4 linked regions of the Diceros bicornis minor genome follow. The protein of the gene in region 1 interacts with the protein of each later gene in a pairwise test. Links are inferred from orthologs where the notes say so. Each region holds a gene or a part of one and is shown in the gene's direction. Other genes may lie near its edges.

What was found.
Region 2: the proteins of FATE1 (region 1) and TRAF3IP3 interact in binary tests that used the Homo sapiens proteins (3 or more experiments, as listed by UniProt). The two-hybrid records come from large-scale screens. The link is inferred for Diceros bicornis minor from reciprocal best matches to the Homo sapiens genes FATE1 and TRAF3IP3.
Region 3: the proteins of FATE1 (region 1) and EMD interact in binary tests that used the Homo sapiens proteins (3 or more experiments, as listed by UniProt). The two-hybrid records come from large-scale screens. The link is inferred for Diceros bicornis minor from reciprocal best matches to the Homo sapiens genes FATE1 and EMD.
Region 4: the proteins of FATE1 (region 1) and MARCHF2 interact in binary tests that used the Homo sapiens proteins (3 or more experiments, as listed by UniProt). The two-hybrid records come from large-scale screens. The link is inferred for Diceros bicornis minor from reciprocal best matches to the Homo sapiens genes FATE1 and MARCHF2.

Annotation. Positions count from the first base shown.
Region 1 is NC_080781.1:136,029,636-136,036,812, forward strand, and holds the start of FATE1 (fetal and adult testis-expressed transcript protein), read left to right. Parts: upstream 1-4,165; coding exon 4,166-4,271; intron 4,272-5,307; coding exon 5,308-5,435; intron 5,436-7,177. UniProt on the Homo sapiens protein: Involved in the regulation of endoplasmic reticulum (ER)-mitochondria coupling. Negatively regulates the ER-mitochondria distance and Ca(2+) transfer from ER to mitochondria possibly implicating it in the regulation of apoptosis.
Region 2 is NC_080743.1:75,798,913-75,806,458, forward strand, and holds the start of TRAF3IP3 (TRAF3-interacting JNK-activating modulator), read left to right. Parts: upstream 1-4,529; 5' UTR 4,530-4,611; intron 4,612-7,546. UniProt on the Homo sapiens protein: Adapter protein that plays essential roles in both innate and adaptive immunity. Plays a crucial role in the regulation of thymocyte development.
Region 3 is NC_080781.1:138,282,725-138,289,505, reverse strand, and holds EMD (emerin), read left to right. Parts: upstream 1-3,866; 5' UTR 3,867-4,032; coding exon 4,033-4,114; intron 4,115-4,238; coding exon 4,239-4,346; intron 4,347-4,509; coding exon 4,510-4,587; intron 4,588-4,803; coding exon 4,804-4,937; intron 4,938-5,393; coding exon 5,394-5,440; intron 5,441-5,520; coding exon 5,521-5,839; 3' UTR 5,840-6,268; downstream 6,269-6,781. UniProt on the Homo sapiens protein: Stabilizes and promotes the formation of a nuclear actin cortical network. Stimulates actin polymerization in vitro by binding and stabilizing the pointed end of growing filaments. Inhibits beta-catenin activity by preventing its accumulation in the nucleus.
Region 4 is NW_026691615.1:299,662-307,552, reverse strand, and holds the start of MARCHF2 (E3 ubiquitin-protein ligase MARCHF2), read left to right. Parts: upstream 1-4,888; 5' UTR 4,889-4,964; intron 4,965-7,891. UniProt on the Homo sapiens protein: E3 ubiquitin-protein ligase that may mediate ubiquitination of TFRC and CD86, and promote their subsequent endocytosis and sorting to lysosomes via multivesicular bodies.

The DNA of each region.
Region 1 (7,177 bases):
ATGACCTCAGTACCAGCTGCTTCCAGGAGCAGGAAGGAGAATTGTTTACAGGTTTGTAAGTTTCGTTAGCAAGTGGAGGGGAAGCTCCCAGATGCCTGGAAGATCTGGGTTTGCAGCCAAAATCAGGCTTGCTCGCTTGGGCTTGGGACTGTAGCTGCCTGAGACTGGGCTCTGAGCAGAGCTTGGGGGCAGCAGACCATCGCACTCATTGGCTTTGAATGGCCTCTTCCATAGAACCCCAATATAAGAAAGCGATAAAAGCGGAACTGCTCTGGGTGAAGAGAAGCTGGAGTCTGCCCTGAAGCCCAGGTAGCCCCAGTGTACCTCCCTGAAACCATGAAACAGTTTGAAACTGGGTTTTAGCTCAATCTTCCACGTGAAGATGAGAAACTGAAGCTCAGGGCAGGGGAAGCAACTTGCGTAAGATGTCCCAGTGTCAGGGCTAGGAGTCACTCCCAGGTGTACTGACCCTGGGCCTGGGTTCCTGCCACCTCCCACTGCTGCTTGCAAGAGAGGTGGGAGCAGGTCACAGACAGGACTGTCAAACCGTAAGCTGGTCGGGAATTTGAGTCGAGTCCACAGCTGGCTGAACAGCTGGAAGAAGCCAGTGGTTTGAAGGCCTTGGTGGAGGCAGGTAGTTGGACAGGGAGAGAGACGGACAGACACAAGACAACAGCAGACAGTCAGACAGGCAGGCAACAGCCCAAGTTGGACACCTACTCTGTGGGAAGCTGGAGGCCCTCTAGATTTCAGCCCAAACTTGGGTGCAATTAACTAGGTTTGTTTGGTCCCCAGTTGAGGCTGTGTGCTCACAATCAACTTTAGGGAAAAAGATGATATGTTTTCTTTGGAGATGCTTATCTCGAAGGGAGGGAGAGCTGTCTTCCCCATCTCTTTCTGTTAATAAAACAGCTCTTATTTTAATAAATATCCAAGCCCTCCAGCAGACAGTTCACAGGAAAGAAATACAGAAGATCAATAAACGTGAAAAATTGCTCAAGTTTATTTGTAATTAAAGCAATATAAATTAAAGCAACAATGAGAGAGAGATCATTTTTCACCCAGCATAATGATGCCTTTTAGAAAGTTTCATAATATCTTCCATTGATAAAGCTGTGAAGAGATCAGCACTTTCTTCCCTTTGATGAAGTCCCACTTGGCACAGCCTCTTTAGAGGGGACATTGACAATGTCTGTCAATATTGGTCAAAATTGCCAACATACATATCCTAGAACCCCACATTTCCACTTTTAGGCACCTGCTGGACAAAAACATTTACACATGTATGCAGAGAGGCCTGTCCAGGAATGCTCACTGCTACATTGTTTATAAAAGCGAAAAGCTCTAGACACCCAAAATATCCATGAGCAGGTCCATAAACAAGGGTGCAGCTGTGCAGCAAAATACTGTGCTGTGTTTAAAAGACATGAGGTAGATTTGTTCTGACATAGCAGATCCCCAAGGCACACTGTTCACCTAAAAAAGTAAGTTGCAGAACAGCATGTACCTCAAATGTACGATCTCATTTGTGTAACACACTGCAAACATATACACACACATCTTAGCCCAATGTTCTCTGGACTCCTTCTTCCCCTTCCTAGAGGCATGTCTAACCTCCTGGGTGGGAAGCACTTCAGGCTCCCTTGTCCTCTTCTCTGGGAGCCTTCCACTTGGGTCTAGGTCTTTGCAGCCCACCACTTTCACTTGGCCATGGGCCCCCATAATGCTTGGCAGATCTTTCTGTGTCCAGGGTTCTCCAGCCCTTCCGGCCCCCGAAGTTGGCATGCCAGACAGTGGGCCCTTTTTGAAGAGTTTGAGGAGAGACTTTGGGGCAATTTCAGAAGGAAATTATAATATTGGAGGGAAAAGGTTAGCATGCTAGAGAGACATGCTAAGGGACAAGTTCAAAGTCACACAGCAAATTCTCTCTCCCACCACCCAGCCATCCTTGGTGCCCAATCCAAGAGAAACAGGCATGCTAAGGTGGTGAAATGCCCGAGTTTCTGGCTAGCATTGGGGGCATAGGGATTGGGAAGGAAGTCACCCTCTTTGCTTGACTTTAGGTGGTGGGTTCCTTTGCCAGTAGAGGGCAGTGCCTCTGCGTGTACCTGGGCCCAGTGTCCCAGTGCCCAGGAAGCCCCAACTAGTCAAGGACAGTTGGCAGTCAGTGGAGAATCTGATCTGAGATCAATAATGGAAGGTCTTGCCAGCTCTACTACCTTGAGTGCTCTCACAATTCAGCCACGATTTAGGGAGGGGATTGTTAACTCCATCGTCCAATGGGGAGACTGAGGCCCAAAGGAAGGAAAGACTTGCTCAAGGTCAAATCTTGAGATCATGGCAAGGATGGACAGGGCACAGGGTTGCCAGATAAAATACAGGACACCCAGTTAAATGTGAATGTCAGATAAACCATGAATAATTTTTTAGTGTAAGTATGTCCCAAATGTTGCACAGAGCACACTTACACTAAAATATTATTTGCTGTTTACTTGAAATTCAAATTCAATTGGTGTCCTGTGTTTTTATTTGCTCAATCTGGCAACACTAGCCTGGCAGAAAGCAATGGCTCCTGCTTCCCAGGCTCCTAACTGCCACAGAGCACACTTCTCTGCTCCTAAGGTGGCGCTCCGGAAAGCTCGGGTTTCATCGCAGCAGCTGTTGCACTGGAGCTGGGAAGGGCTTCTTTGGGGCCCTCAGGAATGCAGGCCGGGCCTATGTCAGCTCTGCTCTGAAGAGCTTGGTCCAAGTGCTGGACAGGTGGGGCCAAGGTGGGAGACAGGCAGCCCAGACCATACCACCCTCTCTAAGCAAGTCCTGGCCCCTCCCTTTCCTCTCCATCACTCTTTCCTTCCTTTCTTCCTCTTTCCCTCCCCTCTTCCTCCTCCTCCCCCTATCTTGTCCCAGCTGTGCTTGGTTCCTTTTAGAAATAGCCTCCTCTACCCCCAGGGGCTCTCGGGCTGTTCCCAAGAGCTGAGGGGTCACCTTTGGTGGTTCTATCAGTGAGGGATCTCCAGAGAAACAGAACCAATAGGATGTATGTATGTATGTATATGCATATGTATGTATGTATGTATATGCATATGCATGTACATGTACATATGTGTATGTATATAGAGATTTATTTTAAGGAATTGGCTCATGCCATTGTGGGGTTAGCAAGGCCAAAATTTTCAGTGCAGGCCAGCAGGCTGGAATCTTAGGCAAGAGTTGATGCTGCAGTCTTGACCAGAATTTCTTCTTCTTTGGCAAACCTCAGTCTTTGCTCTGAGGGCCTTCCAACTGATTAGATGAGGCCCATGCACATTGTCAAGAGTTAATAATGGCCTTTACTTAAAGTCAACTGATTGTAGGTGTTAACCACAGCTACAAAATACCTTCACAGCAATACCTAGATTAGTGTTTGATGGAATAACTGGGGTCTGTAGGCTGGCCAAGTGAACACATAAACCTGACCCTCACAGTGGCCTAATCAGTAGGGAAGCTGAGGAGGAATTTGGACTTAGACCAGGGGGTGTAGGGCCTGGGGACGCTGGGGGCTCCAGTGGCTGCATGCAGGTCTTTTCTTTCCTACCCCTCTCTCCTTTGGTTCTCATGGTTCCTGCTCAGGCTTACCAAAGGCATCAAAAGCCCATCTCCCCTTCCTGGGAACTCTGGATTTGGGGAGGCAGGCTCTGCAGAGGATGCCTTCTGAAGGGCGCTATGGCTGGGATTGGTAGCTAGGGCTCGGCTTGCAGAAGCCATGACAGGCTTCAGATCTAACCCTGCTTTGACCACTGACTGACTCTGGGGTCCTGCACCAGTCCCTGCATCTCTCTAGAAATGATGGAGGCTGGACCCCACTTGCTCCACAATGGGGCAAAATCAGGTGACCTGAAAGCCAGGGTAGTTCTCACAGGCAAAGTTTCTGAACCTTATCTCTTCTCCTAAGTTGCTTACAGAGTAGCAGGGAGAAGGCCTCGAAACCAGCCAACAAGATACAGCAGGAACAGAAGGTGCTGGGTCCAAGGCCTGAGCCCAAAGAGGGAGTCTGGCTCCACCCCCATGTCCAGATATATCTTCCTTGATCTCCTACCCCTCAAAGAGCTGATTTTCCAAGTGCCTCCTCTGTGCCCTTCTCCCTGTGCATCCTTGGCCATAGCTTATAAGTGAACAACTGGTTGTGATGGCAGGAGGCCCCCCTAGCATCAAGGAGGAGATGGAAATGTCTATGGCCGAAGAACTGGCTCCTGGAAGCCGTGGGCAAGGCCAAGAGCACCTGGTGATAGCAGGTGAGGTTCCTCTGAAATGTTCCTTCCCTTGGGTGTCTACACCTGTGCGTGTGTGTTGGAGAATGTGCATGTGTGGCCGGGCAGACGCTCATATATATGCATGTACGTATTTGCATGTATGTGTGGGTATGTGTGCATGTCTGTGCCTTGGTGTGCATATGCATGTATTTGTGCCTTGAATGACAGGGGAGCTAGGGGGAAAGGGATTGATGATGTGAGCATTTTGCACCCCTGAGGGAGTAGGATGGGACCAACGTGTGTGGTCCCTTGGTCTCCCCGTCGTCTAAGCCACCACTATGTCTATTGCAGAACATTAGGAGGGCTTAATTTATAAGATCAATCGGATCAATTCTCTCTCCTAACTCTCCGGTGCCTTCTGCCATTTAGAGTGAAATCCAAACTCCTTACCACGATCTACAGGATCCTATCAAGGTCACTCAACATATTTCATGCTGTGGCATGGTGCCCCACTCCATACTGCAGTTATGTTTGTCCTTGTGACACCCCAACACTGGTTCTTCCTCACAGCCTTTGTGCTTGCTGTTCCTTCTGCCTGGATGCTCTTTCCCTAGATTTTCCATGGATGGGCTCTGTTTCTCTTTCACATCTCTGCCTCAATGTTGTTTCCAACTTTTCTAGACGTAGCCCCTTCCTTCCGTCATCTTGCCCTATTTTTATCATTTTAGAAGCATATATCTCTTGATCTGAATCTACACTGATGGATTAGTTTCTGTTTTGCCCCCTCACTCCTCCTATACACACACACAATCAGTTCCTTGATTTCTGCAATGCTGTCTCTTAGTCATTGCTCTTTCTCCAGTAACCTAGCTCGGAGTTTTGCCCTCAGCAAATACTTGCTAAACTTTTAAACAGATGAACAAACTGAGGCCTGGGGTTGACCAGTGGACAGCAGTGAATGAGTGTTGAATGATTCCTAAGAAGTTTGGGGACCCTATCCTTTCTGGTATGTGCTGTGCCAAGGAAGCCTTGGTACAGCCTCTATGGGTGTTCTGGGGGCTTCTGTTATTTTTCCTAGAAATAATGGAGTGTGGGTCCCGGTCCCTGGGTACCTCTCAGCGGCAACAGAAGTTGGGTCCAAAGGCTGCTGGCTCTGCTACAGGCCAATTGGTTTGGAATATGACTGCCACCCAGCCCAAGAAAGGGGTACTGTATGGGGCCCTTGGCACATGGTGACTGGGTTGGTGTTGGGAGTACTGGCTGTAGGGGCTCCACTCTGACGATGGTAGGTTGAGCAGGGCCAGATGTTAACTTGGGGGGCGGAGGAAGCTTCTGTATACCAGGTAGGTAAACGAGGGCAGGGAGGTCCAGCGAGAAGTCAGGGCCATCATTTGACAGGCTGGGAGTTCAACCTTGGGAGTCCAGAATGCCTGAAGCACGTATTGCTTGGGGAGTACATATATGTACTTTACTCTGTAAAACTCTAGTGTGTGTGAAATGACACTTTCTATTAAAAATATATATATTTCTCTACATATATATCTATATTTTATATATATTTCTACATATATATAAATATAAATATATATAAGTGTATATATATATATCTCAGGGTTGGGACAAGGGTAAGGCGAGTGAGGTTCCTGTGCTCCCTGGCTGTTAGGAAATCCAATCAATTGAACCTGGCCTTTTTGTAGCCAATCCTGTAAGCTGCATTCAATGTGAGTTAGGGAATGTTCTAAAAAAAATGGCAGCTATACTGTTGCAAAGGATCCTGGGAAAAGGCAGCCATTTTGGAGAGGAGGGATACCTGACTGTTCTAGGGATTCACCTGAGTCCTGTTATTCTGTAGCCAATCCTTTAAACTACATTCACTGTGGGTGAGGGAAAGTTTTAGAAACATGGTTATTACACTGTTGCAGAGGTTACTGGGGAAGGCAACATGGTTGGGGAGGAGGGAGACCTGAATGTTCTAGGGAATAGGTTACTGTAAATGCTGAAATGATTCCACCCCCAAAGAGAAAAAGAGCTCCCAGGTCAGAGACCTCCTGGGAATTAAAATGAACCAGAAATATTGAATCAGCTTCCTGTGTCCAAAGACTGAAGCCAAATCAAGTTGCTTTAGCAAGTCAGGCTCCAGCAAGCCACCCATGCTCCTGAGACTGAGGTGGCAGGCGGTGGTGGTGGTATAATCTCTGGATTAATTAAAGTTACCTATTAAGACCAGAGGAGTACACTTTTAAAAAATAGAGTCGTTATATTAAATTTAGAAATTAAATTTAGAAATTTAGAATTAAGAAAATTATCAATTCTATTTATTTATTCATTATTTATTTTTGAGTAAAAAAATTCATGGAACTGTTATTGCCTCTGAGAGAACCACAACATGAAAGAACAAAAAAAATAATAATATTATTATGCTGATTTGAGTAAAAAAAAGTAGTGTGCCTTAAAAAGTACATGAAAATGAAAATAACACTTTTGAAGTAATTAACTGAGAGAAGCTGGAATTTGCTGCAGTTCATAGATTTTCCTAATCTCCATCAAATTTGCATAAAAGTCTTCTGTTCTACAATGTATATAATTATAAATAGAGGGTTTCTAAAATTAAAAACAAAAAAGTAACAAGACAACTGTTTTTGAACAGTTAAACCTGTCTTATGATGTGTGACCACAGTAAGTTATCATTGACTTGCAGATGTTGTTAAATTAATTCTTATCATATTGATGTGCTAAAAACAAACTATGTTATCACAAACAAACTCCAGCTGCCAGTCACTCTTCTTTATTTTGCCTTCAAACCTCTCAAAAAACTTTTTGTCCTTCAGATCTCAATCTACCTAAATCAAGGGGATGGTGTGGAAATTGTTCTAGGAGAGACTCTTGATCGACTCCCCCTTTATAGTCTTGGGGTCTTCTTGACACCCACTGTCCATTTAATGCAACTT
Region 2 (7,546 bases), on another chromosome or scaffold:
TAAGCCATTATGATATCTGACTCAGAAGTAAGCCTTATTTTATACTCTGGCAGGCCCAAGGGGACACAAACTGAAATGAAGGTGAAACGAGAAGACTTAAGTTGCTCTGAGGATTAACACATGGTTTTTCCTTTTGGTCCAAATGGAGATGAATACCTGGGAAGCCCTCCCTCCTTTTTCTGGTCTACCTTACTCTTTCCTGTTCTGTCTGTTCTATAACACACACACACACACACACACACACACACACACACACACCACTCCACCCCCTCCCTCAGGCCTGAAGTTTCATCCCATCAGGGCCCTTCAAGGTCAAAGCTGGTAAGACCACCCTTCTCAGCAGCCTAAGATGCAAAGTAACTTGTCTTTCTCAATGCTGGGACCCGCAAGAACAGATGTGCAGTTAGTTGTGCCTTAGGGTTAGGCCTTTCAGATTCTTAGCATCTGTACAACAGACAAATCTGCTAATATTGATAATCTGTTACAGCATAATTTTGAGGTTTTATTATAGTAAAAAGTCCTCTATCAACAATGATGACACAAAGCAACAAAGAGAAGAAAAGAACTGAGAACTCTGTCCTGCCACAAGTGTGAAGTCATAACTCCATTGTAGAGAGGCAACCTTGCAAATGTAGGAGTTAAGGAAATAGTTATCTTCTTCCTGATGAGTTTAGACTGTATCACCTCTGAGAAGGAATATTTGTCCTTGGGATGTTTGTGTGGACATCTGATTAAACAGTTGCCAGGTAGACACTTGAAAGACTAAAGAGGAGAGTCTACAGAGCCAGCCCTGATGGCCTAGTGGTTAAAGTTCAGCACGCTCTGCTTTGGCAGCCTGGGTTCAGTTCCTGGGTGCAGAACCGCACCACTTGTCTATCAGTAGCCATGCTGTGGTGGCAGCTCACAGAGAAGAACTAGAAGGACTTACAACTAAAATATACAACTATGTACTGGGGCTTTGGGGAGAAGGAAAAAAAAAAGAGGAAGATTCGCAACAGATGTTAGCTCAGGGTGACTCTTTCCCAGGAAAAAAAAAAAGAGACGAGTCTGCAAGTCACTGGTTGGGGAGAAGTTGAACAAGAACAGACTTAAATGTGCCTATCCTGAGCCACTCTGCAGGACTTGGAGTTCCAAGTTCCCCTCACCAACCCCTCCTGCCACCTTCTGCAAAACTTGGGGTGACAAGGCCACCCCAGGCTATCCTGTTAACAGTGTCTGCGGCATTGTTCTAGAATGAATAACTTAGACTTGAAGAATGCATTGCTGAGAAAATGTTGGAGGGAGTGTAGTGGGGGATTCTAAGGCAAAAACAATTCTTATGGGCAAGGTTGCCATTTCCCGAAAGATGAATAGGGGAGTCATCCAGTAGGGTGGGAGGGGGAACAAGATTAGAACTAATAGCTCCCATGTGGGGACCTCCATAAAGAGTTTGACTTCTTGGTGTTATTTCTTAGAGTATGGGATAAGTCATAGTAGCACACAGTTTAAATGTTTTCCTTTCACAATTGGAATTCCCTTCAGTTACCCCAACCCTAAAATAAAATCTGATGATCCCATACATACTTGTTTGATGCTGTGAAGAGCAAAGCAACAGAGCTGTAAGGCAAAGTGATGCTTATCCTATATTTACTCCTCATGGGAGCCCACAGAGGACCCGAATCTATTAAGGAGACCATGTCCTGATGTTCCAGGATATGACCATCAATAAAGAGAGCCAAGGTCCCAGTGGACCTGGAAATGGTAAGAAGTACAGAGTGCTGGCCAGTAAATGCCACGTGACCAGCTCAAGAGGTGCCTGATCTAAATCCTCCTCTGTACTAGCCTATGCTAGAGGAAGGGGACCATCAGGGAGAGGCAGGCTGATGATTAGACTATATCTCTACTTGAGACTGATTTGGTAAATAAAGTTTTCTTAAATTCATTTTATCCAGATTTTCAAAATATTACCTTAGTTACACAAATGACTGTAAAAGTATTTTCATGTCCACTGTATGATAGTTACTTCCATGTACCATTCATAAATGTTTACAGATGTGCTTTCTCTCTTTTAAAGTGATTTGGCTAGCTGGTAGTTTATTTCATTGATTTTGTTTTCTATTGGTATTTCTACCTTTCCCCACATACAGACACAAGAACTAGCTCCTGGTATTCAATAGATAATTGAATTTATTTATCAATTCTGCTCTGAATTCTAACTTATTATATTGCTTTCTCTTTTTACCTTCTTTTTATTCTCACTTTCTTTCCTTGATTTTCCTGACTACTTTTTAGAAATTTGTTTGAAAATAAATAGCTAATTTATTTTTAATATTCCTTGTTTAAGTAATGAAAATATTTAAGACTATGAATTTCCCTTGGGTCATGCCTTGGCCATACCTCACAGATTTTGTTCTTAATGTTCTCGTTAGCATTGTTTTCAAGGCATTCTTTTTTGTGTGTGTGTGAGGAAGATTAGCCCTGAGCTAACATCCGTTGCCAATCCTCCTCTTTTTGCTAAGGAAGATTGGCTCTGAGCTAACATCTGTGCCCACCTTCCTCTACTTTATATGGGACACTGCCACAGCATGGCTTGACAAGCGGTGCGTTGGTCTGTGCCTGGGATCCTAACCTGTGAACCCCGGGGCTGCTGAAGCGGAACGTGCGAACTTAACCGCTACACCACGGGGCTGGCCCCTCAAGGCATGCTTAATTCCAGATTTGGTTTCCTCTATATTTCAAGAGTAAACCAGGAGAATTTTTTTTCCAAGAGGTTGAAGTGTTTATTTCTTCCCAGTTTTGTTATTTATTTCTAATTTTATTGTACTATGGTTGGGGAATTCTGCTGTAACAGATTAACTTGTTTTTTTAAGGTACTGGGGTTTGCTTTATGATCAATACAGTCAATTTTTTTGACGCTTCATGGGCATTTGAAAATAAGGTATATTCTCTAGTTTTAGTTTTCTCTGTGTGTGTATGTGTCTCTTTCTCTCCATATAGATAGATAAGTATGACAACCTTATTAATTGTATTGTTCTCACAACATAGTGTTAACAGCTCAGGCTCTGATGTCAAGCAAACTTGGGTCCAACACTTGCTGTGTTACCTTGAGCAGACTGTTAACCTCTCCAAACCCCAGTTAAAGTGGGTGTGGTATCCCATTGAGTGCATAGCCCTAAAAGGCATTTTGATCTTTGCACACACTTCTTTTTGACTTTTAATGGATTCCAAATAGTTGGTCCATAGTACCTCCTGTTATAACCTCCTGTCCTCTCCTATGCTCTGGTGCCCTAAACTCCCAGGACCCTCTCACTAGTCTTCTAAGCCAATAAAATTCTCTTATTCACCACCTTGGGCTCCCTAACCCCTCTGTCTTCTACTCATTCCCATCACCATATACCAAGCTCCAGACACAGGACCTTAGGCTCTTGTCTCTCTTCCTGAGGGAACGTCATTTGCCTTCAGTTCTAGTGCTTGAGAATCCATCCTCTGTGCTTTTCCCTGCCTACTCCTTGCCCTTTTTCTCCTCAGAGAATGGGGGAAGTAGCAGGCAATGAAGAAGATTGTGACATACTCCCACGTGTTAATGACTGTTATCCTATCACAGCTATTTAAAAATCTCATTGCACGCCTCACACATGTCAAGCCTTAGAATTCATAGGAGCCATATAAATCATCCAGCTACCATAATGAGTGGACCATGCAGACAAGGTGAATTGCACAAGGTTATAAAACTACTCAGTTAACTTACCCCAATCCAATTCTCTCTGCACTATCTTGTTCTGAACTTCTTGGGAATTTCCTGACAATATCATTTGTAGTGGTTTCTTTTTAATGCACAAAGATCAGTTCCTTCTAGTTTTTCCCCAAATTTCCTAGTCCAATTGACTAGGAAACTTTTTTTATAAGATTCTGCCTGCTGCTGCTCCCTTCATTCCCCAGTCACCCACCCACCACCTTTTCACCTCCTCCTCATTGCTCCAGAAAGGAGCAAATTCAGAACTGGCCTCATTCCAGAATTCTGAAAAAGACACCAGGTACTTTAGAAGAGTAGAAACTTTTTACAATACCAGGATTGGGAAGAGGCAACAAAAGGAAAATCCTTACACAGAGAACTACCTGACACACAAGAAAAGCTACACAGGGAACATCTCTTCAAGGTCAAAAATGCATTTTTTCCCCTCATAGAAACTGCAAGGTTTGAATCTGATCCAGAGGCCCATCCTTGTCCGCTCCTGGAAAGGAATCTTGACTGGAAACTGTCCGCGAGCTAAGACCAACCCAATAGCAAGAAGAAGGGTGGCTGGGGTGCCCAATGATGGGAGGAGCTCCTGAGCCCAGCGCTGGAGGCCTCAAGGGTTCAGGGGCCCCCTCAGACCGTGCCAGAGAGCAAGAGAGAGGAACTGGGGTGAGCAAGCACTGTGGCTTTGTCTGTTTCCGGTTTCAGCAAGGCTGCTGTGCGAAAAAAAAAAAAGACAGTACCAAGAAGGGAAATGCTAAGGGGGCCCAGAGCCATGGATTGAGAGCTTGTACTTTACACAGCTGCTGTCTTGCCCCATCTGAAACCAGAGCCAAGATCTGCCCAGGAGCTGGAATGCTTTCCTGAGCTGCTTGGGTTGGAGCCTGGGACCCAAGGTAACTGAGGAGGATGCTTTTGCATCCAGGTTTGGGAGCTCTAATTCTGGGGTGGGGCAGAAGACTCTGTCATCCAAGCTTCCCCAGGCTGAAGAGGGAGACACAGGGGTGAATGGCGTAGTTTAAGAGTGCTGGGGGTTGGGTAACCAAAGAAGCCTCCTGTGTTGGTTTCCAGGGGCACTAGCCACGGCGCAAGGGTACAGCTTCCATCACTCTACGTTCCATCTATTGGATTAGATTACAGGTGAGTCAAATGACTTAGAGTTCAGGCTACCCAGCGAGAGGGGCATAAATTCAATGATCTCTCATAGTTCCCCTCAAAGCAGGGACCCCCATAACATGAAGCTGCCTTTCCAGGTCCCTCTCTCCTCAGCTCACACTGAGAGCTCTGGACTAGGAAGCCCAGACCCATGTAGGAAGCCATTCATTGCAAACACAGCCAGGAAGTAGGAACAGAGACTTGGAAAGGCAGCAACAAACCACTGTCAGGTGAAGGGCAGTGCTCTGATCTCTCCCTGCGGCAGTGAGGAGAGCTTCCCCCAGCCAGTACTACCTCTTCCCGGAGCTCCAACTGGGCTCTGTCACGACGCCAAGAGGCACCCCACAGATGCCAGAAAGCCTGGGCAGTGGCCCAGTGACCTTTCTTTGAACTACACAGGGGCCAGTTCCTTTTTCTTCTATGGCCCATCCCCATCAGTCAGCCGTCCCACATGGCTTCTTGTGTTTAAGCAAATCAGAACAGTCAAGACATCCCGGAAGGCTGGGTGTGATTCCGCTCGGCTGTGCCACAACAAATCCCACCAGGTGTGAGGGTCTAGGGGTCTGAGAAGGCTCCCTTTTCTAAGGAGCCATTTCTACTCCAATTCCCCACTTGGGTAATAAGTCCCAATATCTGCCTCTCAGGAAGCAAAGCAGGACAGCCATATGTCTCAGTGGACTAGTATAGACAGCCTGGTCGAGAGCCCACGGAGAACTTATCTCAGGCTCCATCTCCTCCCCCACAACCCTTTCTTCTTCACGGCAGGAAGGCAGGAAGATTCTCCATAATCAGAGGATCTGCCTCCTCTACAAAGCCTGCAGATTACCTGGAGCCAAACAGAGAGGGGACTTAGCGTCCCACATTTTAATGGTGGCATGTAGGCAGGCTGGACACCAATTCTTCACTCCCATCTCTTCTTCGCCTTTCTCCTGGGACTAATGAAGATAGTGGTTTTGTCCAGACCACAGAGAAGTCTTTTCTCCATGTAGCCCAAACCCAGAGGTCAGATGAACCACAGCAGTAAATATGATTTCAACCCGGGGCCAGCATCCCCTCCGTACAGTAAACAGTACCCCTTCAAAGAGAAAGGAGGTGGGCGAGTTAGAGGATGAGGCATTCTTGGTCCTAGAAGTGCAAGGTTAGCTTGGGACCTTTGTCTTATAGCACTGAGTCTTCAATATCCAAGATCAGCAGGACAGGGATAATAATAATCATAGCTTATGTTTATTATTATTATTATAGAAAGCTAACACTTATTGTGTGCTATGTGCCAGATGCTATGTGTGCTATGTGCCAGACGCTTGACGTGCATTTTCTCTTTAATCCTCATAACCTTATGAGGTAGGTTCCCATTTTATAAATGAGGAGACAGAGGCTTAGAGATGTTTAATAGCTTGTTTAAAAGCACATAGGTAGTAGATGACAGAGCCAGGACATGTATCCACATAGTCTGAGTCAAGAGCCAGGGCTCCCCCTCCTTCCCCATCTACGGCAGAAGAGCCAGGAGCTACGGCTTGGATGCCGCAAGGGTAGATTCTGGACATTGAGTTCGCCAGCACTTAATCCTGAGTCTCCTCCATCCAGTCATTTATAACTTAATATGGATGGGCCTCTCAGATCCTTTTCTAAGGTTTTAAAGAAAGAAAGTGGCAGCATTGTGATAAGTGAGATAAGTCAGACAGATAAAGATGAATACTTCTCAGACAGGTAATGTGGACATGTCCTCAGCAGAGCTAGAAGTCATCAGAGTCCTAACTAAGGTGCTGAGGTATCTGTAAGGCCAGAGATCCCAGGAGTCTGCTGTGATTTTTAGGTACAAAGATATATGTACAATTGGCAATAATTGCCAAATTATTTCCAGAAAAGATACACCAAAATGAAACCTCAACTTCAACAATTTTGAGTATCTAACTCACTCTAACCTAACCAGCATAGAATATGATAATTTTAATTATCTTTGCCAATTTTGGAGAAAGTAATTAATGCCTTTGCTGTTGTAATTTGAATTTGATTGATTTTATGTTAGCTTGAACTTTAAAATAATCTTGTTGATGATTTTCGTTGCCTCTTTTGTTAAATGTCAATTCAAAGTGTTCTTAATGATTTGCTTATGCCTTATATGGCTGATATTACTTTTTGTATATTTAATAACTGCTTCTCAATTTGTAAAAAAAAAAAAAAAAGAAAGTGACAGGTGGGAAGATAGGGGACCCCTACAGAGTCAGAGTGAGGAGAAAAGCCTAAAGAAAGGGGAGAGCCACCCAGGGATGGGATGAGAGGACAAGCATTGACAACCTCACAGTTCTGCTTGGGTCAGCACTGCCCAAAACCAGAGTCTGCCCCTCCAAGCCTCGAGAGTCAGTTGAGCGTGTGCAGGGCTTGACCATGTAAGACCCCTCTCAGGGAGTGAGACTGCCCCACCCATGAGCCTGGGGAATCGGTGGTATGATCAGAGAGAGAGCAAGAACCCTGCAGAGAACTCCAGACTGAGCCAGGATGGACAGTGAAGTTCCAGTGAAGGGGCAGAGAGGCTGCTACCTGTTGAGTCTGTTGGCCTATAAATAAACCCAAGGGGCTAGAGCTGGCAAATGCCTGCTGGTTGGTGAAGCTGAGATACCCTTCTCTGACCTACCCAGGAACTAAGGTTTCCAGGGTGGTGGGTAGTGAGGTTGTGGG
Region 3 (6,781 bases), about 2.3 Mb from region 1:
CCCATTTCCTGGTAGCTTCAGATGTAGCTCAATTGTCACTTCCTTGGGGAAGGCCACATAAAGCAGTGTCACTTTAACATTTTGCCCACAAGCCCCAATAAGAACTACATTTGACATCCTGAGCCCAGCTGTGCAAGCACACATACACAGATTGACAGAAATAACTGAGACAAACGATCCAGAAAAGGAGACTTTCTCTCACTACCCAAAAAGCACTTGGTATTTTCTATTCTACTCTACTTCATTAGAAGAGAGAAAGAAAAGAAGGGAGGGAGGCAGGAAGAAATTTGGTTACACCTGCTAAATGCATTTGGCCATCTACAGTTGAACACTGACAGGAAGGCGCTGATTGCCCTCCAGGCCTCCCTGCAGCCACTGCTGCCTTTGTTAGCTCTGCTTGCAATGACCTTTCCACCTTGACTCACAGTGGGATCTCCTAGCAGTGCCAGGGGCTCCATGTCCCTCCCTGCTCCCTCTGGTGGGAACCCCCCCCCACTGCTGGGGTGAGCAGTGGGTTATGGTCACTTGATAGGTGAGTGGCCTGAGTTCAGGTCCATGAGGTGGCTGTTCTTCAAGGAGGGAGACCCACCTACCACAGGCATTGCAGTCGGAGCCAGGGGTACAATAGGTGGGGGGCACAAACAAGGCGGTGGCCATGTGGCTGGATCTTTGGCCCCCACCTCCATTTAAATCCTCTCTTTACACTACTGCCTCCCTCCCACTGCACACACACTCCAAAACACACAAAACATGCGCAGCTCTTGGTTTCTACTTCTTCCAGGTTTAAGGGGAATGAAGGTTTGTATAGCACCAGCTGTTCCCTGGTGAAGATCCTAATCAATTAAAGACCTTTTCTCCTGTGTTGAAGGTTTTGGAAAACCGCTAGAATCAGCTACATTCCTGCTGCTAAGGCAGGCCGAATCCCCAACTGGTCGTGCCAGCAGTACCAAGATGAACTGCTGTGTTCTAGGGTGGGTCACAAGGCATTCTTGGAGACGCATTTGGTCCACTGACCACTCCCCATTTTATATTGATTGTAATTGTGACAATCTTCCACATATTAATTTTCACAATAATCATCATCTTATGACTTTTGTTACTATCTGAGCAATGTTTCAAAGCATTCAAATACCAAGCGAAACTCAAAGGATCTTTAACATCCTTGAAGAGAAAAGTTAAGTTTTGTATTGTACTAATGTATTAAGATTCTGACCTTAAAGAAAACATTAATAGCTCAGTGAACAACTGGCTCCTTGGACATGGATGCTGACAAATGTATTCATGTTGGTATTATTTTCCCCTATAACTTTCAATCTTGCTGGGATTCCAAGTTATACTATGTACTGCTTAGGAGCCATTGCCCATCCTTGAAAGAGAAACTGTCTTCTTATTCTTGACTTGGAATCTGTGGCTTCCTAACCCTTTTCACCTCAGCTGTGGTTCCAGAGAAATTCCTCTTCTTTTTTAACTCTGCCCACCCTTCCCAGGAAGACTCCCCTGGAGGCCACAGATTCCCCCAACAGGCCCTCTGATGACACGGTACCCGCGCTGGCCACACTGGCCAGGTCATTGCCCCGAGGACTAGGTACTCCCCCATGCCATCCATGGGAGAATCGGGCCCTTGGGCAAGCCTTCTCCCTCTCCTGATTCCCCCTCTGTGTGATGGAATGGTGCAGGCCTCTCAGCACTGATGGGCAAGGGCTCGCATGGTTTCTGGTGGTCTGGGACAGGTCTGCACTGCGATGGGGCTGGACCTGGGCTCCAGGTGCTAACCGGGTGGGCGCAGGGGACCATTGCAGTTCAGTCTCCTGGGGCCATCCATGGTGGGACCTCATAGCAGGGCAACGGGGGGGTCATAAAAGGCAGAGTGCCGAGGCAGGTGCTGGGAGAGGGGGTGTTCCTTGGGGAGAAAGCAAACCTAGAATTCCTTGACCTCATAAGGAAACAACTTGGATCCACATGGGGAGGGGTGGCATGGGGGAGGACTGGGCCTCCGGGACAGGGGCCAGCACCACAGAAGGCTTGGAGAGGTGCTGGGGAGTCTGATCTTGCCAAAACTCAAAATTCCAGGAGGCAGCTTCTGAGCAGCCCAGAGCCCAAACGCCATCTCCCTCCTTGCTCTGAAAGATAAGCAGCAAGCCCCTGCTGTGCCCAGGGTTCTCCCCCCTCTACAGCCATGCACGTGTCTGGGGACCCACACACCTCCTCCTCCTATTCCGGGAGACAGAGCAGGCCTCGCCTTTACTCTAAAACCTGGCCCACAGCAACTCTTCTGAGGGTCTTTGTGTGGGGTCAAACCAGGACCCCATCTCCTCACCACTCCCTGTGTGGCTACCTCTTCTCCACCCGCTGAGCAAACCTCCATGGAGAACTGCTCTGTGACCCTCACTAGCTAGGCAGCCAGCCTGGGTCTGAGCAGAGCCATCCTCTCTTCTTCTCCCCTTATCACCTGTTGTCATTTGAGACCAGGGACAGCTCCTCATCACCCCGTGCTCCCAGTTCTGGGCCTGCCTGGGGAGGGGCACCTCAGTTGGCCCCATACTCTATCAGTTGGCTTGGTTTAGAACATGGTTATCACCTCCTTTCCAATTTCCACAGGACAGTTCTTTACTGACCAAGGCCCTCACCAACTCCTAGTGAAGGTCCAGCCACCTTGGCAGGCCATGGCAGCCTTCCATGGTCCCCGCTCAGTCTTCTGGCCCCCCTGTCCTCAGGGCCCCCTCTGGACTACCAGGACCCTGAAGCCTACCCAGACCCAGGTGCTGAGAGCCTGCGAAAGCTTGTTGGAACCCCCGAGCAGGTCCCTGTGGGTCTGGAAGGGCCCTCCTGACCCTGCCTGGCCGCCTCCTGGGTCACACTAAGCTCAGGGGCCATTCTGACAGGAGAGGAAACCCCCAGTGCCCCAGGTGGACGTCATGGTGGGTCAGGCGGACACTCGCTGTCTCTGCACGCATCACACGGCGCCCCGTGCCAGTGCCTATTGGCACGTCCGGCCCCTTCCAAGGCTGTTTGCTCCTGGAGTGCTTGGCGGCCTCCTGGGCCACTGCCCCATTTCCTCCCGGTGGAGCGTGGAGGGACGGAGGGAGGCGGTGGGGACCCGCGGGTGCAGGTGCGCAGGCCAGGGCCGTGCAGAGCCACCGGCCGGCCTGCGGCAGGGGGTTTGGGGGGCGGCTTAGGGTCCGGGCCCCGCCGGCAGCCGCCTCCCTGGCGTGGCGCACGCGCGCAAAGCGCTCGCAGGGGCGCCTGGCCCGGGACCGCGCTGTCCAAGGACTCGCTCTTAGGATCTGGCACTTTCCCGCTGCTCTCGGGGCGTGGCCGGGGAACCCCAGGCGCTGGAGCCTGGGAACGGGCCGGGGGTGAGGGCGGAGTGGCGGAGGCCGTAGGGACGGAGTGAAGCCCACGTGACTCAGGGAGAGCAAGCACCCCAAACGCGCCGGCCCTGGCCGGCTCCCACATCCTGGCTAGTTTCTGCCGGTTCGCCTCGCGCAGACCCCGCCCCTCCTCGCTTCTCGCCGGAACACGCCAGCGGGTGACATATTGCCTCGCCAACCCCACCCCGCTCTCAAGTCCCGGCAGGTCTACGCCCATTCCCCTTGCGCGCGGTCCCCGCCCCTCCTCACTTCTCGCCCAGAAGCACCAGCGAGTGATGTCTCCTGGTTCGCCGGCCCCACCCCTTCCCCCGGGCACACTTCCCCGCCCGCTCCCACGGCCGGACCGGTCTGAGCCGCTTGGGCTCCCGCGCACGCCCCGCCCCTCTTTCGCCTTTAGCCAATCCTGCCTGTTTGAGACGTCTGGGCTCGCCAGCCCCGCCCCTCCCGCTCCCACGATCGGACCGGTCTATTCCGGCTGCTCCCCGCGGCCTGGCTCCGCCCCACGCAGCGCGCGCAGCTCGCAGAGCCAGCGTCCAGGGCGCGAATGTGACGCAGGCGTGACGCGGACGCAGGCGTGACGCGAGCGCAGCCGCTCCCGAGGCAGCCGTAGCTTGGTCTGTGTCTCCAGGCCCGAGTCGCCCCCAGGCTTCAGCCGCGCACCATGGACGATTACGCGGTCTTGTCGGACGCCGAGCTGGCTGCCGTGCTGCGCCAGTACAACATTCCACACGGGCCTGTCGTGGGTACGCGGTGGCAGGCCACCTCCCCGCGCTCCGCCCTCGCGTCCCCTTCCGGGACCCCCTCCCCGCGCTGCCCCCGGGCTCCCAGCCCGCCCCCCTGACCGCCCCGCACCCCGTGTTTGGCCAGGTTCCACGCGCAAGCTCTACGAAAAGAAAATCTTCGAGTACGAGACCCAAAGGCGGAGGCTGTCGCCTCCAAACTCTTCCACATCGTCTTTCTCCTACCGGTTCTCGGGTGAGGCCCCCGACCCAGAGCCCCATCTGGCGGCCCGTGGGGACAGGGTTTGGGCGACGGGGAGAACAGAGTCGCGAGGGTGTGGCAGGAACGCTGGCCGGGAGGGACACGGGAAAAAGGGAGGGGAGCCTTGAGGGCAAATGGTCGTGGCCCCCTCATTCAGACTTAGATTCAGCCTCCGTGGACTCGGACATGTACGATCTGCCCAAGAAAGAGGACGCCTTACTTTACCAGAGCAAGGGTAAGGCAGGCGTGGGGTGGGCACCCTGACACCTTCATTCCACTCCCTCAGGGACCCCAGTATCAGGGAGAACCTGAGACCTCAACCCCCGCCGTCCCTCAGCAGCCCTGGAGGGGAGAAACCATGTCACAGGCCCCAAAGTGGGATTCAGATTAGGGCCATCGGGCCAGGCGGGGATACCGCTGCCCGCTCTGCTACTGCTGCCCCCTTCCTAAGGCTATAATGATGACTACTATGAGGAGAGTTACTTGAGCACCAGGACTTACGGGGAGCCTGAGTCTGTGGGCACGTCCAAGGGCTTCCGCCAGCCCTCGGCTTCACTCTCAGACGCTGACACCTTTCACCACCAGGTGAGCCGGCTGTCGGGTTGTCTGTAGTTGTGTACAACCTGAGGGGGTCAGAGCTGGGTTTGGCTAAGTCAAGGGGGCAAATGGTGTCTCCCAAGCCTCCAGGGAGAGGTGGGGTCAGCAGACACCTGCCTGGTCAGGGCCCTCGGCGGGCTGTCAGAACTGTTTGACTGGAGCATACGGGACATGCCCTGCACCCTGGTCTTGGATCTAGCTTTGAGCTTATTTTGAGAATCCTGGGGCAGAAAGTAGGGTGCAGGCAGCCAGGACAGTCACTGAGCAAGTGGCCAGGGCCCAGGGAATGAAGGCCAGGAACTCAGAAGGGTTCTGGAGTATGGCAGGGCCTGGGCCTCTAAGCAATGGGCGGGATAGGCCAGCAGGGGAAGTTTGGACTGAGGGATGTGACAGGGCCACACTGACCCTGCCAGCCTTTCTCCTCATCCTGATTCTTTTCTATAGGTGCGTGATGACAGTCTTTTCTCTTCTGAAGAGGAGAGTAAAGATAGGTGAGTGGTAGGGAGGGCCAGGGGCTGGGCTGATTCTGGGCCCAGGCCCTCCTGGCCCATCTGCTCCCTCTTTGCCTCAGGGAATGCCCCATGTATGGCCGGGACAGTGCCTACCAGAGCATCGCGCACTACCGCCCCGTTTCCAGCATCTCCAGAAGCTCCCTGGGCCTGTCCTATTACCCCACATCCTCCTCCACCTCTCCTGTGTCCTCATCCTCAGCTCCCCACCCTTCATGGCTCACCCGCCGTGCCATCCGGCCAGAAAAGCAGGCCCCTGGGGCTCTGGGCCAGGATTGCCAGGTCCCGCTCTGGGGCCAGATGCTCCTGTTCCTGGTCTTTGCAGCCTTCCTGCTCTTTGTTTACTACTCCATGCAGGCTGACGATGGCAACCCCTTCTGAATGGAGCCCTGAGGGTCTGGCTTCGGGGCCAGCTGCTCTCGGGAGGGAGTCCTGGCTGACTGCATTAGCAGTGTTTGCTGGGGGGCTGTGGGGGGGTGCTTCTCTGTGTGTTCTAGCTTGGGGGTGCTGGGCCTGGCCCAGGGCAGTGCTTGCTCCCCCTGCCTTGTCCTGCCTTGTTTTGAGAGGGAGGCAGCCCGCCCAGGCCCTCTATGGCATAGTGGGCCTGGGCAGGCCTTCCTCCGGAGCCTCCTGGCCCCACTTGCCTCTGATCCTTAGGGCCCGGGAGGGTAAGACCCTTCTCCTGGAGAGGAGAATGTGGTTGTTGTTGTCATTGCATGCCTCCTTGTCACCTCTTTGGGGGGATTAACCAAAGGCCACCCTGACTTTGTTTTCGTGGACACACAATAAAAAGACCATTTATTTTTAAAAGTGTGGGCTCTTTCTGCTGGGAGAGGGTTGGGCTCCCCTGGCTCGGGGCCTCTGAGCTTTGGTCTCCAGAATCACCATCTGGCTTCGTGGGTTCCCCCTTTTGGCCTTGGCCTAGGAATCACATCCTACCCGTGAATCAAAGCACATTGGTGCTTTGCTTGATGGGGTATGTTCCCTGACTCATAACTCAAAGCTCTGGTAATCATGAGAATAACTATGGCACCATGGAGCGTGGAGAGCCCACCCCAAGTGCAGGCAAGGCTGCCTATGCACAGCCTGCTGTGGATCTTTTACCCGGGACAAGCGGATGCCAACCCCAGTGTCCAAGGGTGGGAGATGGTTAGGAAGCAAAGCATGTGCTTGGCTGCCGCCGTTTCTTCCAGGAAGCTGCTTGTTTTATTTATTTTTTTGTGTGTGTGAGGAAGATCAGCCCTGAGTTAACATCCATGCCAATCCTTCTCTTTTTGCTGAGGAAGACTGGCCCTGGGCTAACATCTGTGCCCACCTTCCTCC
Region 4 (7,891 bases), on another chromosome or scaffold:
TGGACCTATGGATATTTAAAATGTGTCCTTTTTTCCCCTGCGTTTCCTGTAAATTACTACTTAGACCCAGAGGATGATCAGATTTAGGATTGAGACTTCATAGATGGCGCCATGCAAATACCCTAGGAGGCAGATCCCGTCAGCGTGTTTCTGACTTGTGGTGTTTACAGATGCTCCTGAGCATCACTCAGATTCGTAATCCATTAGGAGTTACAAAATGGTGATATTCAAATTCTCTCCCTTTTTGGAGCTGGCCCAGGGGCGTAGTTGTTAAGTTCACGCACTCTGCTTCAGTGGCCCGGGGTTTGCAGCTTCGGATCCCGGGCGTGAACAGATGCGTCGCTTGTCAAGCCATGCTGTGGCAGTGACCTGTATAAAAAGATGGGCACGGATGTTAGCCCGGGGCCAATCTTCCTCGGCAAAAAGAGGAGGATTGGCATCAGATGTTACCTCAGGGCTGATCTTCCTCACCAAAAAAAAAAAAGAAAGAAAGAAAGAAAAAGAAATTCCCTTTACATTTATTTCTGGAATACTTCTATAAAGAGAAATTTCCCCTCGTCTATGTGGTTACCCCGAGGTACAGATTGTATAGGTCAGCATAAATACTTAATTCTTTCCTTTGCTTGTCAATTTTCTTTTTCTTTTATTGTTATTTTTTTAATTAATTAATTATTTTTTTGTGAGGAAGATTGGCCCTGAGCTAACATCTGCCAATCCTCCTCTTTTTTTTGCTGAAGAAGACTGGCCCTGGGCTAACATCCATGCCCATCTTCCTCCATTTTATATGGGACACCATCACAGCATGGCTTGCCAAGCAGTGCATCGGTGCGCGCCCAGGATCCGAACCAGTGAATCCCGGGCCGCCGCAGCAGAGTGCGCGCACTTAACTGCTTGCACCACCGGGCTGGCCCCTATTTTTTAAATTTTTAATAAAATAAAAATAAGCCACTCATGGTTTTAAAGACAGATGGATAGACAGACAGACAGATAGATAAATGTCTCTATATAGGTACATATATACATATGTATTACAATGAGAGAAGCAAGAATTAATGATACTGTGGTAGCAATGAGCATGCCTGGGACCCAGATCTTAGTTTCTCAATATCATTCCTCACTAAAAGAAATCAGGCCTCCTTGGAGAAATGTTGATTCTAGAGCTGGGGCAGGTACAAATTGAAGAAAATCCACCCTGGGGCCGGCCCCGTGGCTTAGCGGTTAAGTGCACGCGCTCCGCTGCTGGCGAGCCGGGTTCGGATCCTGGCGCTCACCGACGCACCACTTCTCCAGCCATGCTGAGGCCACGTCCCACATACAGCAACTAGAAGGATGTGCAACTATGACATCCAACTATCTACTGGGGCTTTGGGGGAAAAAGTAAATAAATAAAAAATTGTTAAAAAAAAAAAGGACTATTTGAAAAAAAAAAAAAAGAAAATCCACCCTGGAACATCTTGTTGAGCCAGTAAGTAAGGAAGTGCTCAAAGATGGAATGAGAACAATCATCATGTGGTAATCACTATCTGATCAAAGAGACAGTCTTGGCTAACATTGCCCTGCCCCTCCCTTCTTCTTGCTTTGATTGAGGATGTGATGCCTGGAGCCACAGCAGCCATCTTGCTACTGTGAGAAAAACATCAAGATAATCTCAGAATCTTTGAGCCTATCTTCATTTGAGCAAGCCAATGCAGCTATCCTCCTCCAGAATTCTTGCAAATAAAAATAAAACCCTCTTTGTTTAAACCAACAACAGCAACAAAATTGGTTCAGGCCAGTGTCATTGACAGATATTAAATCTGGTGAGTGAAGATTTTTTGAGGAACAGGTTATTTAATTAGTTTCAAAGTATTTTCCCATAAAGCACTTATTGACAAGTGCAGCGTACTAACTCACACGGGAGAAACCTGGCAGGCACCATTTTAACTAGGTTAGCATAATCGGTAGTGAAAGAAATCAACATCCTATGCCACCTGTTATATACACTGAGAACACAGTATCACTTCTGTGGGTCCTTTCTCAAATCATGTGGAAACATTAGACAAACACAAATGGAGAGACTTTCTACAAAATAACTAGCATCTTCAAAAGTATCTTTTGAGGGCCGGCCCCGTGGCTTAGGGGTTGGGTGTGTGAGCTCCGCTGCTGGCGGCCGGGGTTCGGATCCCGGGCGCGCACTGACGCACCGCTTCTCCGGCCATGCTGTATGTCCCACATACAGCAACTAGAAGGATGTGCAACTATGACATACAACTATCTACTGGGGCTTTGGGGGAAAAATAAATAAATAAATAAAATCTTTAAAAAAAAAAAGTATCTTTTGAAGTATCAAAAGTATCAAAGTCAGGAAAGACAAGGAAAGACAGAGAAACTGTTCCAGACTGGAGGAGGCTGAACTAGCCAGCAAAACACACCATGTGATCCACCGTGTGATCCAGGATGGATGCTGGAGCTTTAAAGGACTTTATTGGAAACTTTGAATGGGATTTGGGAATTACACGGTAATATTGGATCAATAGGAATTTCCTGATTTTGAAGGTTGTACTGCTATTATGTGGAAGACTGTGCTTATCCTTAGGAAATACACACTAAAGTATTAAAGCTTAATGAGACACCACGTGTCTACCTTATATTCAAGGATTCAGAAACGTTAACAATTAGGGGATCTAGGCAAAGGGTTAATGGGAGCTCTGTGTCTTTCTCCTGTAAATTTTATGTAAATTTGATATTATTTTAAAATAAGAATTTTTAAGAACCCAAGTGCATGGATTTAACCATTTGACATGTTTTTCTACTGCAATCAGTATCGTTATTAAAGGCCAAATTGTCTCCTTCGTGGCCAGTGGGAGTTTCTTCCAGTTGGTTCCATTGAGACTACCTCACTAGGTAATGTTTTTGAAAACTCCAGTAATTTCTGGTGTATCAAGACGTGCCAAGGGCCGGCCTGGTGGCATAGCGGTTAAGTTATTGCACTCCGCTTCAGCAGCCCAGGGTTCACAGGTTCGGATCCCAGGTGTAGGCCTATGCATCACTCATCAAGCCATGCTGTGGCGGCATCCCACATACAAAATAGAGGAAGATGGGCACAGATGTTAGCACAGGGCTAATCTTCTTCAGCAAAAAGAGGGAGATTGGCAACAGACGTTAGTTAGCTCAGGGCCAATCTTCTTCACCATAAAAGAAAAAAAAAAGACGTGCCGGGTTCATCTGTATGTTTTCTGCCCCAGACCCAGAATCAGCTGTTTCCTCAAGGTTCCCTGGTTCTTTCTATTGGAAATGGTATTTAGAGACCATAATCTGGGCTTAAGGAGTGCTTATTGCTATGAGGTTGGTCTTTATTTTGGTGGGAACTTTTTTGATGAACAGACCTAGGAAATGTTTGCTTTTTATAAAGATAAAATATATCATGGTATTCCCAATTCAAATTCAAGACCTCAGGGTTTTAATTTAACATAATCAACCTTACATCTCTTTCACTCCCTCTGAAAATCTCAGTTCTTGACACCAACATAATTACTCCTTTGCTTTATCCCATACTAAATATGCAAGAAGATCAGAACACCAATTTAAGACCACAACCACCATTATAGTAGTGGTATGTACAGTCAAACTGTTGTGTTTTAAAGTCACTAGAATTTCATCTCTGTGTTGTTTGTCACCAACTGGATACACAGGTTCATTCGTTTTATTTTATTTTTGTTTTTAGGGATATCTTTACATTTAAAAGTTTTTTATAATTATACAGAAGATTTACGAGGTTGTAAAGTCAAATATATAAAACAAGATATATTTTTAAAGGTCTAGCTTCTATCCCCGTCCCCTGCATCCTACTTCTTCCCTCTAGAGGTAATGTTTTAAAAAAGTTATGATTTATCTTTCCTTTTTCGAAAAATATAAGCCAGTACAACACAACAGAATTTAACTGAGGGAATTGAGCTGATCTATATATTCAATACAGGCAGGGCCAGGGGAAGAAAGGAATAATGAGACAATTCTCAAGCCCCCCTCGTGCCCTTTGCACATGCTGAACTCTCTGCTTAGGACTCTTTTCCCCTCTTTTCTCCCAGATAACTTCCACTCACACTTCAACTGTCAGTTCAATTGCTTCTTCTTTGAGGAAATATTTTTTTCACTTTCCATATTATTCCATGATATGTCCCCCTCACTTGCTACAATTTATCACCTTTGTAATTAATAATTAATTACATAATTGGTTGTTTAATGTCTGTCTCCCTCCCTAGATTGAGGTCCATGAGGGCAGCAACATTTGTCTCACTCAACATTGTGTCGCCATCTCCTCGCACAGTGCCTGGCTCAAAACAGGCCCTCTTATTGGTGTTTGTGACATCTAATGAATGAATCTATTGCACGCACGAATGAATAAATGAATGATGAATAATGATGTTGGCTTTAGGCTCTTCCACGGCCCCCTAACCTCTCTACGCTTCTGTTTCCCCTCTGTAAAACGTGATCATACGGTTCCTCCCTCCCCCAGGACTGAGGAAAAGCGTAAGGGAGGTGATGAACACTGACAGATAAATCCCTTTGCCGGGCCTCACGTTGAATTCCACAACGCTCTTATTTATCAACAAGCGCTGGTCGTCGGCAGGTGGCGCTACTAGGCCCGCTCGTGCCCCGTGCCGGGATGGGGCGGGGTCAGGGCTGGGGGCGGGGCCAGGACGCGGCAGGGGCGGAGCCAGCAGCTGCGGCGCCGCGGGGCCTGTGCGGCCCAGGACGTCCCCGTCGCTCAGGCCCCGCCTCCCAGGGCGGGACGTGCACGGCGATTGGCCAGTGCGGGCGAGAGGCGGTCGCCATTGGCCCGCGGCCCCGTCGGCTCGGCGGGTGGTGTCCGGACGCAGGTGCCGGCCGGAGCGGAGCTAGCGGCGCTGACCGGACCGGCCGGGCCGGGACTCGGGCCGGGGTGAGCGGAGGGGTCTGCGCGGCCGCCCGGCCCGGCCGCGGATCAGGTAGGCGCGAGCGGGCGGGGCCGGGGGGCGCCGGTCTGCGGGCCGGCCCCGGGTTCGAGGCCCGAGCCTGGCCCCGGGCGGGACGGCCGGGCTGGACCCTCGGCCTCCGCCTTCCCCGGGACGAGGGGCTCGCGGTTCCCGTCTCGAGGGCGGCGAGAGGTCCCGGGGGCCTGGCACACAGTAGGTGTCTCTGGGAGTCTCGGTTTCCCCATCTGGGAAACCGGGTCATCCCAGCGCCGACCTCGCGAGGCTGTCGGGAGGATTCCGGAGGTGGGGGATGAGGAAGGCGCCCTGCACACAGTAGGCGGCCAATAAGTGCTCATCGTCCTTCCCCAGCCTTCTTCTCAGAGGGGCTCAGCCTGGAAAAGAGTAACTCTTATCATAAGCCAGGCACTGTGTACAAAGGACTTGCTTAGCAGAGTGCCTGGCTGTTACCGGGTGCCCCAAACAGGGTAGCCAGAATTTATATGATTAGCTCATTTAGTCCTCTAGGGACCAGACTAGGTGGAAGTGCTAGGAACCTTCTCTGTTATACAGATGGGGAAATCGAGGCTCAGAGAGGTCAAGTCTTTTGCCTAGGGCCACACAGCAAATGAGGGCAGAGCTGGCATTAGCACCTGGCCTCCACTGAAGGACACACAGGGACCTCTCTGTGGTGAGTGAAGAGGTAGGAATGCATTCCACAGGCTCCACGTTTACCCTAAAAAATAATCATGGTGAGCATTTATTGAGCACTTACTGTATGCCAGGCGCTGACTGTGCCTTGTCTCATCAGACCCTCCCGACAGCTCTGTAAGCTGATGGCGGTAATTATAACAAGAGCTAATATTTATTGATTTCTTAATATTTACGGATTTTTGAGCTGGGTGTCGTTACGGCCCCTAGTTTACAGATGAGAAAATCGAGGTGCAGCGAGTGAAGCAGCTAGCCTGGTATCACACTGTGGGGAGTTAGGGTCCTCTGACTCTCCCTTCAGTTTCCTGCCCTCAGAAAGAGGAGACTGGGCAGGTGTGGAAAGTGTGTGATGCCCCAGCACCACCCCAGACAGGCCTAGCTGAGGGCGAATTTCGCTGCAGGAATCGAGTCTGGGGGCTCCTTCTTAGCAAGCCCCTCGGCAGACAAAGTCCACCAACTCCGTCAATGTATTTGACAGAGGAGAAGGATGAGGCCCAGAGAAGCAAAGTGACTTGTCCCAGGACACACAGCATCAGTGATAGAGTCAGGACTTAAAAGAACCCAGGTGTCTTGAGTCCCAGAGCCACTCTTTGGACTAAGTTCAAATGCTGGCGCTGTCTCGTCTTAGCTGTGTGACCTTGGGCAAGTAGCTGCCCCTCTCTGAGCCTCAGTCTCCTTACCTGTCAAATGGGGGTATTTATTGGACTTATGTCATAGGTTTGTTGTGAAGATTCAGTGAACTCCATCTCCCGGGCACTGGGCCAAGTTTACCTGCTCTCCCATCCCAGCAGCTCCAGAGCTGACTGTAGCCTGCAGCCACCATATCCTTGTGTCCAGTCTGGAGTTTGGCCTCTTCCAAGCCCAGGCCTCTGTGGTTTGCACGGACCTCTAGCCTCTAAACATCTCTGATTCCCACCACGGGCACTGGCAGACCAGGGTCTGGGGGTCAAGAGACCTGGTTCTCTCACTGCTGCTACACAGAGTGGGGGCCGAGAAGTTAATGCAGCAACAACTAATGCAGCCACTCTGTGCCAGACACAGGGCCAGGCGCTGGCCGTGGCGGAGAGCGAGGCCAGCCTGGTCCCTCCTTCGCGGAGCTTACCGAAGCGTGGAAGACAGACGCGGTTACACAAGTAGACGACAAATGAGGGCATTTTGGAGAGGCACCCATTCCGTGAGGGCAGTAACGTAGACACCCGTGGCTCTTTGTCCAGGGTCTCAGGGAAGGCCTTTCCGGGGAGGTGACCTTTGAAGAGGACACTCACAAGAGCTATTTAGACTCTAGCAAGCTTGGCACCCGGCACACAGTAGGTCCTTAATAAACAGTGGCCGCTGTGATTATTTTGGCCATTTGTAGGCCTTGCACTAGCAGATTTACCAGTGGGGTTTTAATTTTCCCCTGAGAGTAAAAGGAATTGCAGAACTTAATATACAGGAGCTGTGATGGTTCTTATAATGCCTGGTCTCTTGCAGAAATGTTAAGACCAATCCTTTGAGGGGCAGGAGGAATAGATTCCTGTCTGCATGTATTCCCTTGAATAGCCCAGTGGCTTCTCTGACTTGTGAGCTGGAAGTTCTGGTTGCAGGCACGCAGGAGGGTCAGCGGCGTATACAACAGGGCAGGCCCGGCCGCTGCCCTGCGCATGTTATCTCGGTCACGCAGCCTTCCTCCTGGGCCCCTGACTCTGGGCTGATACGGTCATCCCTCGGTATCTGAGAGCCATTGGTTCCAGGAACCCACCCCACCCCACCCCCCACCCTAGCAGATACCAAAATCTGCGGATGCTCAAGTCACTTATATAAAATGGCTTGGTATTTGCATATACCCTACACACATCCTCCTGTATACTTTAAATCATCTCTAGGTTACTTATAATATCTAATACAATGGACATGCTGTGTAAATAGGTGTTATACCGTATTGTTTAGGGAATAATGACAAGGGAAAAAAGCCTGTCCGTGTTCAATACAGATGCAACCATCGTAGGCCTTTCGATCTGTGGTTGGTTGACTCCACGGAGGTGGAACCCTCGGATACGGAGTGCCGACTGGACTTGCTTATCTGGCCTGCAACGGCCCAACTGTGGAAGCCCAGAAGGGCATTTTGGGTCAGGAGGGCTTCTGGTGGAGCTGTTCAGAGGGCTTTGATCCGTCGTCAGACTTTCCTGGTGCAAAAAGTTAGTCAATAATTTAAGCTGCTTTTTTCTCCCCTCTCTCTAGTTGAGTCTCAGATTTTGACTGGCAGAGGTTGG